Linked DNA regions of Rattus norvegicus. The protein of the gene in region 1 purifies or fractionates together with the protein of each later gene. This does not show direct contact. Links are inferred from orthologs where the notes say so. Each region holds a gene or a part of one and is shown on either strand. Other genes may lie near its edges.

Region 1 (4,306 bases):
TGTTGGATCTGCACCATCTCCGGGTTTTCCTGCCTGACATTGCAGAGCTAAATGCGCAAATCCCTTCTGGGTGTGTCACAGGCGTTGAGTAACTTAACTTTAGCACCTAAGTTCTGCTTGGCGGTGAATGAGTCAGGTTTCCCTTGCCCTGTTTGATTGTGTTACACTATTGAGGAAATCTAGATTTTTATGTTAAAGTAGACTTGTTTAAATAAATTAGAACTTTGTGTAAAAAAAAATAGCAAGCCTTTGAAATTAATGTTATTCCTGGGGTTGAAAGACAGGGGACAGTTGTAGTTATTGTGAGTGTGTTATGTTGAAAGGCCAAATTGAGCAGTATGTCGGGACTCTATTGACTGTGTTTCAGGGCTTAGTCATTTGGAAAAACTTACCAATTACATTTTTGTAGAGCGACAAGTAAATTTACATTGCTTATTTTGAAACCAGGGTATATGTTATTAAAAGACGATGCATTTGAAAATCTCTTTTTAAGCAGGTGTGGTGGTACATGACTTTAATCCCAGCACTTGGGAGGCAGAGACTGGTGGATCTCTATAAATACACAGAGTTAAGTTCCAGGACAGCCAAGGCTGGTAACACAGGGAAACTGTCTCTAAAAAATATTTTTGTGAGTACACATGTGTCTAAGTGTATGTGTTCATGTAGAGATCAGAGGACGACACCTAGGAGATGGTTTTCTCCTTCACCCTATGGGTCCTGAAGTTTTGAACTTGGGTCATCAGGCTTGGCAGCAAGCCCCTTTTCTTGCTGAGCCATTATCTTGGTCCCTTCGGAGGGAAAATACCCCCTTTTATCCTACAAATGTATCTTAAGTGATGAACTGATATAAAGAAAGCTGACTTACAGACTTTCAGACAAGTTAGACCTAACATGAGAAGGTTTGTTGACAGACTTTCCTCGTGACCTACATTAATATTTGGGCATTTGTAATGAAGTTTTAAATTTGTTCTATATTATGGGAAAATGCAAAGCTAGCGATAGTATGAGTTTGACTCTCAGAGACAATAATGCTGTACATCTTCCGACACAGTCTTAAATTACAGTACTGTATGCTTCAGGATCGGCACCCAACTTAGGCAACACTTGAAAAAGTCATTTCATGGCCCCCGGTGGAGGGGAGACTGTACTGCCCTTGTTTAGCGTGAATCAGCCCCTTTAGTGCAGTGTCTTAGGGGACACAAGTGAATCACAGTTCTCTTTGTTTAAGTGTGTGCTCTGGCTTTCTTGGGCAACAAGTGCAAAACTGAAGCCTTAACTCTATTCTGTGTGGCTTTTCTTTTCTCACGGCGGAGCGTCTATTTAGCATATGGGGCGTGGTTTGAGTTCATTATTGAAGCTTATAGGCTAAAGTGCTCTGTGGGTTTGACCCAGTTGAATTTCCTTAGGGAGCCTGCCAAAGTTGAGCTTTGGAACAGGCCGGCTTCCCCTGTTTTTGTGGATTTGTAGGATAGCCAATTTCCCCCCATCTCGACTTTCAACTGCTTTGGACATTAGCTTCATAGGAAGAATTCATTCTTTAGAGTAAAATGGAGCGCCGCTTTTTGCCAGGGGCCCCAGGTTAGTAACGCTTTGAACTTTCTGTTTTGTGTCAGATTTTCTTTCAGTGCCATCAGGGAGATGGGGCGACGATAGGAGAAGGCTTGTGCTATTGCTTCGTTAGAAAAGAATACTTTTGATTCGGTTGGTCCTGCGGGGCTGGGGTGGGAGGGAGTGGTTACGTTTTTTCTGACTAAGATACTTTTTCTGTCAAACCAAATGGAGGAGCCAAGAGGAATGAGCAAACGTGTGCTGGAGTCGTAGTTTAAAGGGTTGTAAGGGTTTGTAAGCATTTTTTTTAACTTCCTTTTTTTTTTTTTTGTAATGACTCTATGTCCTCCTAGTACAGTCAGGCAGAACTCTGATTTTATGCATGGTGATTTTATTTTATTTTTCGAGCTAAGTGGTGTGCTGCATTCTAGCAAGACCCATCTTGCACTCCACTTGTTGGATATGGTTTTCCCTGGGGCCTACTCCTCTGAGTTCCAGCTGATTAGATGTCATGTCACTTTTACTTCAAAGACGGTCCTGTGAAATACCTACAGAATGACTGGTGTGGGTGAAGCATCCAGGTGGGCTCAGGGGGGACTCAGTTCCTCCTGGGTCCGTTGCTGTTTTTATTCAAGTAGCTCCCTAGACTGAGGTCACCCTAAAATAAATATGCCTGTAAAATTGGAGTGTGATGTGTAAGACACGAAAGTAGTGTTAATAATAATAATAAAGAAATGATGCCAATAAAATTAAGAGAATGGCTCCCTCAGTTTCCCCAAGTTAAAGAGCTGGGGAGTAATTGTGCCTCTGTTCATTTGCCCCGGAGCCATCTGGCACGAGAGTACTCTACAAGGGGGGCTCCATTTGACACTGTTTCAAAATGTGTGCTTCATAGGAACTATGGCTTCTCTTTCCTCGTATATGTAAGCTGCATCAGTTCAAATGGATACACGAATGTTTTAAAATATACTAATATATGCTATTATGTGTCTACTATTGCCATTTTCTTCTCTTTTTGTCCCATAGGACAGGCAGTGCGTCAGCGTCTGTTTTATCATCTTTTTCTTTTAATTATTTTTAAGGATGGAGGGAAAAGGGAGACAGAAGTGTTTGTGCATTCATGTGTTTGTGTGTGTGTGTGTGTGTGTGTGTGTGTGTGTGTGTGTGTGCGCGCGCGCGCGCGCATATAAAGTGAAGGCTGCAAGCCATTTCTGATTATGACAGTGGACTTTACACCCAAAGACATAGCACAGTTACATTATTTGTAACTTCCCCACCTCCCCAGATAAGTCCTTTAACCTCCAATCTGCCAGACAACTTTGCCTTCTTAAAAAGAGACAAAGATCGCTCTAGCTTTGCTGTACTTTATTTTTATTTTTTTTTGTTTTCTATTTATTAGATATATTTCTTTATCTACTTTTCAAATGTTATTCCATTTCCTGGTTTCCTGTCTATAAGCCCCCATCCCCTGCCCCTCCCCCATACAGGTGTTTACCTCCCCATCCACTCCCCTTACCACCACCCCCTGCCCCGACATTCCCCTGCATTGGGAGTCCAGCCTTGACAGGACCAAGGACTTCCCCTACCACTGGTACCCCAACAAGGCTACTCTCTGCTACATATGCAGTTGGAGCCCTGGGTTAGTCCTTTGGGTAGTGGTTTAGTCCCTGGAAAAACTAGTTGGTTGGCATTGTTGTTTTTATGGGGATGCAGGATCTTTCAATCCTTCCCCTAATTCCCCCAAAGGGGTTCCTATTCTCAGTTCAGTGGTTTCCTGCTAGCATTCACCTCTATATTTGCTTTGCTGTACTTTAAATGTATACTATCTGTTCATTCCCACTGCATACATATGACTGTGGTGTTACCATGTGTATACTCCCACTGCATACATGCGGCTGTGGTGTTACCATGTGTATGCTCCCACTGCATACATATGACTGTGGTGTTGCCATGTGTATGCTTCCACTGCATACAGCAGTGGTATTGCCTAATTATTAATTATTAAGTGCCTTTGGAAGGCTTGAGAGAGGGTCTCTCTGTATAGTCCTGGCCATCCTGGAATTCACCACATAGACCAAGGTGGCCTTAAATTTAGGTCCTCCTGCCTCTGCCTCCTGAGTACTAGGATTAAAGATCTATGCCACCATGCCCAGCTAAATGCTATTCATTTAAATCTTAAAGGGGAACATTTATCAATCTGATCGCTGATGGTTTTAAAGAAAAATATAAAAGCTATTTCACTCACTGGTCACTTATCTGTGCTAAGTATGAATAAAATTTATACAAACTCACACTGCTTATGTGTCCTGGCAAAAAATCAACTTATTCTAATGTGCCTCTGAGCTTTTCTACCTAGCAATGACACACACTGATAACATATCTCTGGTGGAAATAGAAATAAACAAAACGACACAGAATGTTATAAGTGGGAAACCACCTACAAGCCAGATTTAGGGGATTTCCCAAAGCATATACACACACACACAAAAATACATTTTCTCTGAATATAAGGTGTATGAAGGCTATGACTGTTTGATCTCTAAGAACCAGGGCTGGACTCTCCGAACCATCTGGACTCCCACTTTACAAGAGTCACGTAGTTCTCACTGTCCTGACAGGCAGGTCTGGCACACCCTACATTACTACTCCTTTGGTGCACGGTGAGCAGATATCAGCACTTGACCGTCTCTATGACACCATATCTCAAACTGAGCTTCGAGCTGGTTAATTTTTATCCTGCACTGGCTTCCATTCAAGG
Region 2 (4,460 bases), on another chromosome or scaffold:
ATATACAATTTAACACTTAAAGTTCATGTGCAATATGAAAATTTCACTGCGGCTTTAACTGACCTGGGGAGGTGGGAAGAAGCTGTCTAGGTTTAGTAGTAGGGTCTACTTCAAATGTATCATCCATGACACATGCAGATAGTGAATATCTACAATGGCTGTTTAAATTTTAGCTGACACAAATAATTATTTATGTGGTACAGGTGACTTTTTTTTTTTTTTTTGGTTCTTTTTTTTCGGAGCTGGGGACCGAACCCAGGGCCTTGCGCTTCCTAGGTAAGCGCTCTACCACTGAGCTAAATCCCCAGCCCCTACAGGTGACTTTTTGAGTAGGACTACAATGTATAGGGGTGACATTAGGATAAAGAGGACTACCACCCTGTCTCTACTTCTTCAGTTTTGCCTTTTTAGGTACAGAAAGGGAGTTTGGTTCTTGATGAACCTGTGGTTTTTCTAGACACCCCATTTCTTTGTCTCCTTATCCATGAAGTGGCTAAGACAGGCTTCTGACATGGCTGAAATCTCAGGCCTCTGGAAACGTCCTGCCATTTCTCCAGGGTGTGTATAGGCAGCACCACCTTATGTTTTTCACAAACACTTGCTGTGTGCTGAGGGTGGGAGAGAACAGGCAGGTGCCCCCAGAGAAATTTACAGAAGCAGCATTTAAAAATGGAGCCCTGAGTGATGGAAAGGGATGCGTTTAGGGTCAAGAAGGTGATTATTGCATAGAATCCTGGCAGGCTCACAACTCTGGGGAGGGTTCTAGAGGTCTCAACCCGCAAACGCAGTGAGGATGCCCTGCACCCTGTGTCTTGACACAACAGTGGCTGAAGTAAGCCCAGGCAACACAATTGCCTCCTGCCAACTCAATAGATAAGGCTCCAGGCTCAAAAGAATCTCCTAAGTCCCTCAAAATCTCCTGCCTGTGGGAGTCCTCACAACAGCACATGGAGTGGAAGAACTGGACAGGGAGGACAGAACCTGGGCCTCACTCCAGCACAGATGGGGAGAGTTAACGGATTCCACCTTCTCTCCTGCACCCTGAAGGAGGCCACCCCATTAGGGGCAACCCAGAGTAGCCTCTCAGGCAGTGCTATGCCCGCACAGGTCTCTAGTCCTCTCAGTCAGCTCTGAGTGTGCACACGGGTCCAAGACGAGTGTAGGGACATGGTGTTTGTCTGACATTTGGCCTGTGCTTCTTCCCACTTTGGCCATTTGTCTGTTACATCATTCTCTTCAATGCCCCGACTCAGCTGAAGTATCAGAGACCCTGGGGTACTCTGAGAAGGACATCACACTCCCAGGGGTAACACGACCTTCCCACTCTGACCTTGGCGCTCTAGAACGCTTACTGGCCTCAACCCCCGCATCCGCGGAATGGGCTGGAATTCCGCAGGAAGATGCGCGTGCGCACGCGCCGTAGGACAGGGAAATCCATGCACCACACCCTTGCGCGTTCTAATCTCCGGAGCCGGTGTGCTAGCCCGGGACCCGATCCGGAAACAGAGCGACTTTGGCTCCACCCAACGAAGGCGTCAGGGTGCAGACGCGCAAGCGCTATTCGTGAAGGGGCGGGGCCTCCTGCGTGCCCGCCCTCTTCCCCCGGCGTGCCCCGCGGCAGGCGCTGACGTGGCTGCCGTCAGCGCCGCCATCTTGTGGGAGCGAAACCAACGCCTGGCTGGGAGCAGCCGCCGCGGAGGTGAGAAGCGGGGCTCTCTGAGGCCGAAGCTGGGGAGGCCACGGGCTGGTCATCGTGGGAATCGCGGGGCTCTCGGCTGCGGCTGCTAAGGACCGAGTCTGGTCGGGCGGCCTGAGGTCTGTGCTCAGTGGGCTCGGCGGCAGGCCGGACAGAAGATCAGGGCGCCCCCAAGTCCCGCGTCGCCCACGGCCGCTTGGCCCTCCCCCACTCCGCGGCCCTTACGCCAGGCCGCCCGCCGCGGGCCGCAGCCCGGAAGTCCGGCCAGGACGCCGGCTCTTCTCCAGGAAGCCAGGTTTCCTGCTGTTCCTCTCTGCGCCCTTCCTAGGCTCCACGGCCCGGGAGCCCGTTGCGGGGAGCAGGGCTCGGGGGTCACGGAGTTTCCCTTCTTAAAGGCTAACCGGCAGCTTCAGAAACGGCATGAGCCTTGGGCCTGGGGAAACTGAGGCTCGGGTGGCCCTGAGACGGCGTCAAGGTCACTCGGGTGTCGAGGTCTTCCTCCTCTGTCTCTCGAGTCCTGTTCCTGTCGGCCTAGAGGACCGAAGTTGTAGGAAGGGGGAAGGGAAAGGGACAGGTGTCGGACAGGGACTCGGAACTGATGACCGGGTGCTGGGATTTAACACATATTCGGATCTCAGGGGATCCCAGAATGCCCACTGTGATCCCCAATTAGCCGTGATTTGGCCCCGCATACCCTCGATGAGATCTGCAATGGGGTCTGCACTCTAGAGCCCAGTGGCCTCTGGAGGGGTTTGAGCGTTATTTCGCCTCTTGGCTGACTCCCTTTATGCTTTTGGTGGATTAGAAAAGGCCATTCTGAATTGGAGAATCTTTAACCTGCCCATGGAATAACCTGCTCCCAGCCTCTGAGCAATATGCAGGTACAGAGGCCAGATCCAGTACAGGATTCTGGCTGTCTATTCAGGATGGTCATGCCATGTCAGGTTGTAATGTACATATGTTATGTGGTCTAGCCACATATAACAAACACTAAATGCCAGGGAATCTGCTTGCATCAAGAAGGAATTCTCCCATTCAAACAGCAAGTGGCTGCTTTGTCAGGAAAGGAAGGGTCAGCTGCATTTGGTCCCAGAAGTCACTGGAGGGCCCAGTAGTTGATGCCACAACCCATGTTGGAGTAGTCTGTTGTAGTTCTTGTTTCACAAGTAGTAGTGGTCAGCAGTTTTTCCTGCAGGCTGATTCTGGTGTTTTCTGCTGTGACTGTCAGAATGGTGAGATGCCATGGTGCTTTGTGTGCTGGCCTCATGTCTCTCCACTGTCTTAACCAGTATCTACAGTGTCTGACATGGGTGACTGTAAAGTCCTCACCTTTGAGCTTTTAGCAGGGCTATTAGAAATAGCCTAGACTGTGAGATTTGATGCACAGTATTACTACCTGGTTTCTGCTGTGGTCAAGGGCCAATCGCAGATGTGGGAGCTACATTGTTGGAGTTACATTGTCTCCACAGCATAAAGGTTTCCCTCATTGGAATGTCGATCACTTAGCCTTAGGTTTGAAAATGGGTCTGAGTCACTGGATCATCACATTGTTCTCTTGTTTGTGAGGCAGATGTACAGAATTGCTACTTCAAAAAGGTTTAGGAGCGGAATAGTAGAGTGCTTTTCTAGCCTGCATGAAGTCTTGGTTTGGTCTCTAGCACTGCACACAAGGTTTAAGACAGTGTGAATAACAGCTGACTCATACTCAGTCTACTCATCCTGAGAGGAAAGTAGCAATAACTAGTTCTGTGCCCCACACACACAGTTCTAATTGTAAAATCATGCAGCTGGGATGTCCACTACACCTCTTGCACCTTGTAGAATGGATGTCCACAATCTTCACTCCAATGGGCTGCTTCCTCTGCCCAGGACCAGACAGGCTTCAAAACACCTTTTTTTTTTTTTTTTTTTAATGTAAAGGTAAATTAGACAAGCAGTTGCTATGGTAACACAGTGTCAGGAAGCCTAACCAAGAGAAAAAACTTGTTGTGCAAGTTCATGCAATAGCTTGTTACAATGGTTTGAAAGTGTTGGGTCAAGTTGTTTTTTTTTTTTTTTTTTTTTTCTTTCAGATTCTTAGAATTAAATGTTACATTGATGAGCAGGGTTTTTCTGTGTCCCCTGGCTGTCCTGAAACTCCCTCTTGAGACCAGGCTGGCCTCATACTCAGAAATCTGCCTCCATAGTTGGAATTAAAGACATAAGCTACCACCTCCTGGCTCTGATACACAGGTTTAAATCTACTCTTAATCACAAGGGCTATGTCATTTGCACTGAGGAGCCATCAGTGAGTCCCATTAGACCCAGCGTGCTCTAGGCTGCTATGTCATTCATGGTCTTTCTTCCCTGTTGGCTTTCTTGAATCCCTTTGAGCTTTTATATTCATGAAATTGTTAGAGATGGTGAGGAGAGAAAAATGAAAATTTCTTTGATTCGAAATCTTGACAAGCAAGAGCATCTTTTTGTGTATGCTGAATCTACTATTGAAGATTTGACACTGCCTACTGAGAAGCTAAAGGTAGCTGGGGTGGGAGTGTGTATACATTGGGATTCCTCATTACACACCAAGGTCTGTGTCCAGTATTGATTGTGATACAGATTACAGATAATAGCTTGTGCAGTTTGTCAATGTCTGAAAGGTAACAGCCCTCTCTGGTGGGTCAAGTGACTTGATAAGCTGGAAAACTTGTTAGTGGAGGCACACCCAGTCTCTTTATTTCCAGAGGGACCTTTTAGGTGGTCACCCGAGTTCCACCACCCTGTC

The links.
Region 2: the proteins of Pld1 (region 1) and Arf1 purify together in Homo sapiens (affinity purification with western blotting; 3 studies listed by BioGRID, with this or other methods). This does not show direct contact. The link is inferred for Rattus norvegicus from reciprocal best matches to the Homo sapiens genes PLD1 and ARF1.

Annotation. Positions count from the first base shown.
Region 1 is NC_086020.1:112,820,782-112,825,087, forward strand, and holds the start of Pld1 (phospholipase D1), read left to right. Parts: upstream 1-1,394; 5' UTR 1,395-1,578; intron 1,579-4,306. UniProt on the Homo sapiens protein: Function as phospholipase selective for phosphatidylcholine. Implicated as a critical step in numerous cellular pathways, including signal transduction, membrane trafficking, and the regulation of mitosis.
Region 2 is NC_086028.1:44,511,190-44,515,649, reverse strand, and holds the start of Arf1 (ADP-ribosylation factor 1), read left to right. Parts: upstream 1-1,655; 5' UTR 1,656-1,699; exon of another isoform or gene 1,700-1,991; intron 1,992-4,460. UniProt on the Homo sapiens protein: Small GTPase involved in protein trafficking between different compartments. Modulates vesicle budding and uncoating within the Golgi complex. In its GTP-bound form, triggers the recruitment of coatomer proteins to the Golgi membrane.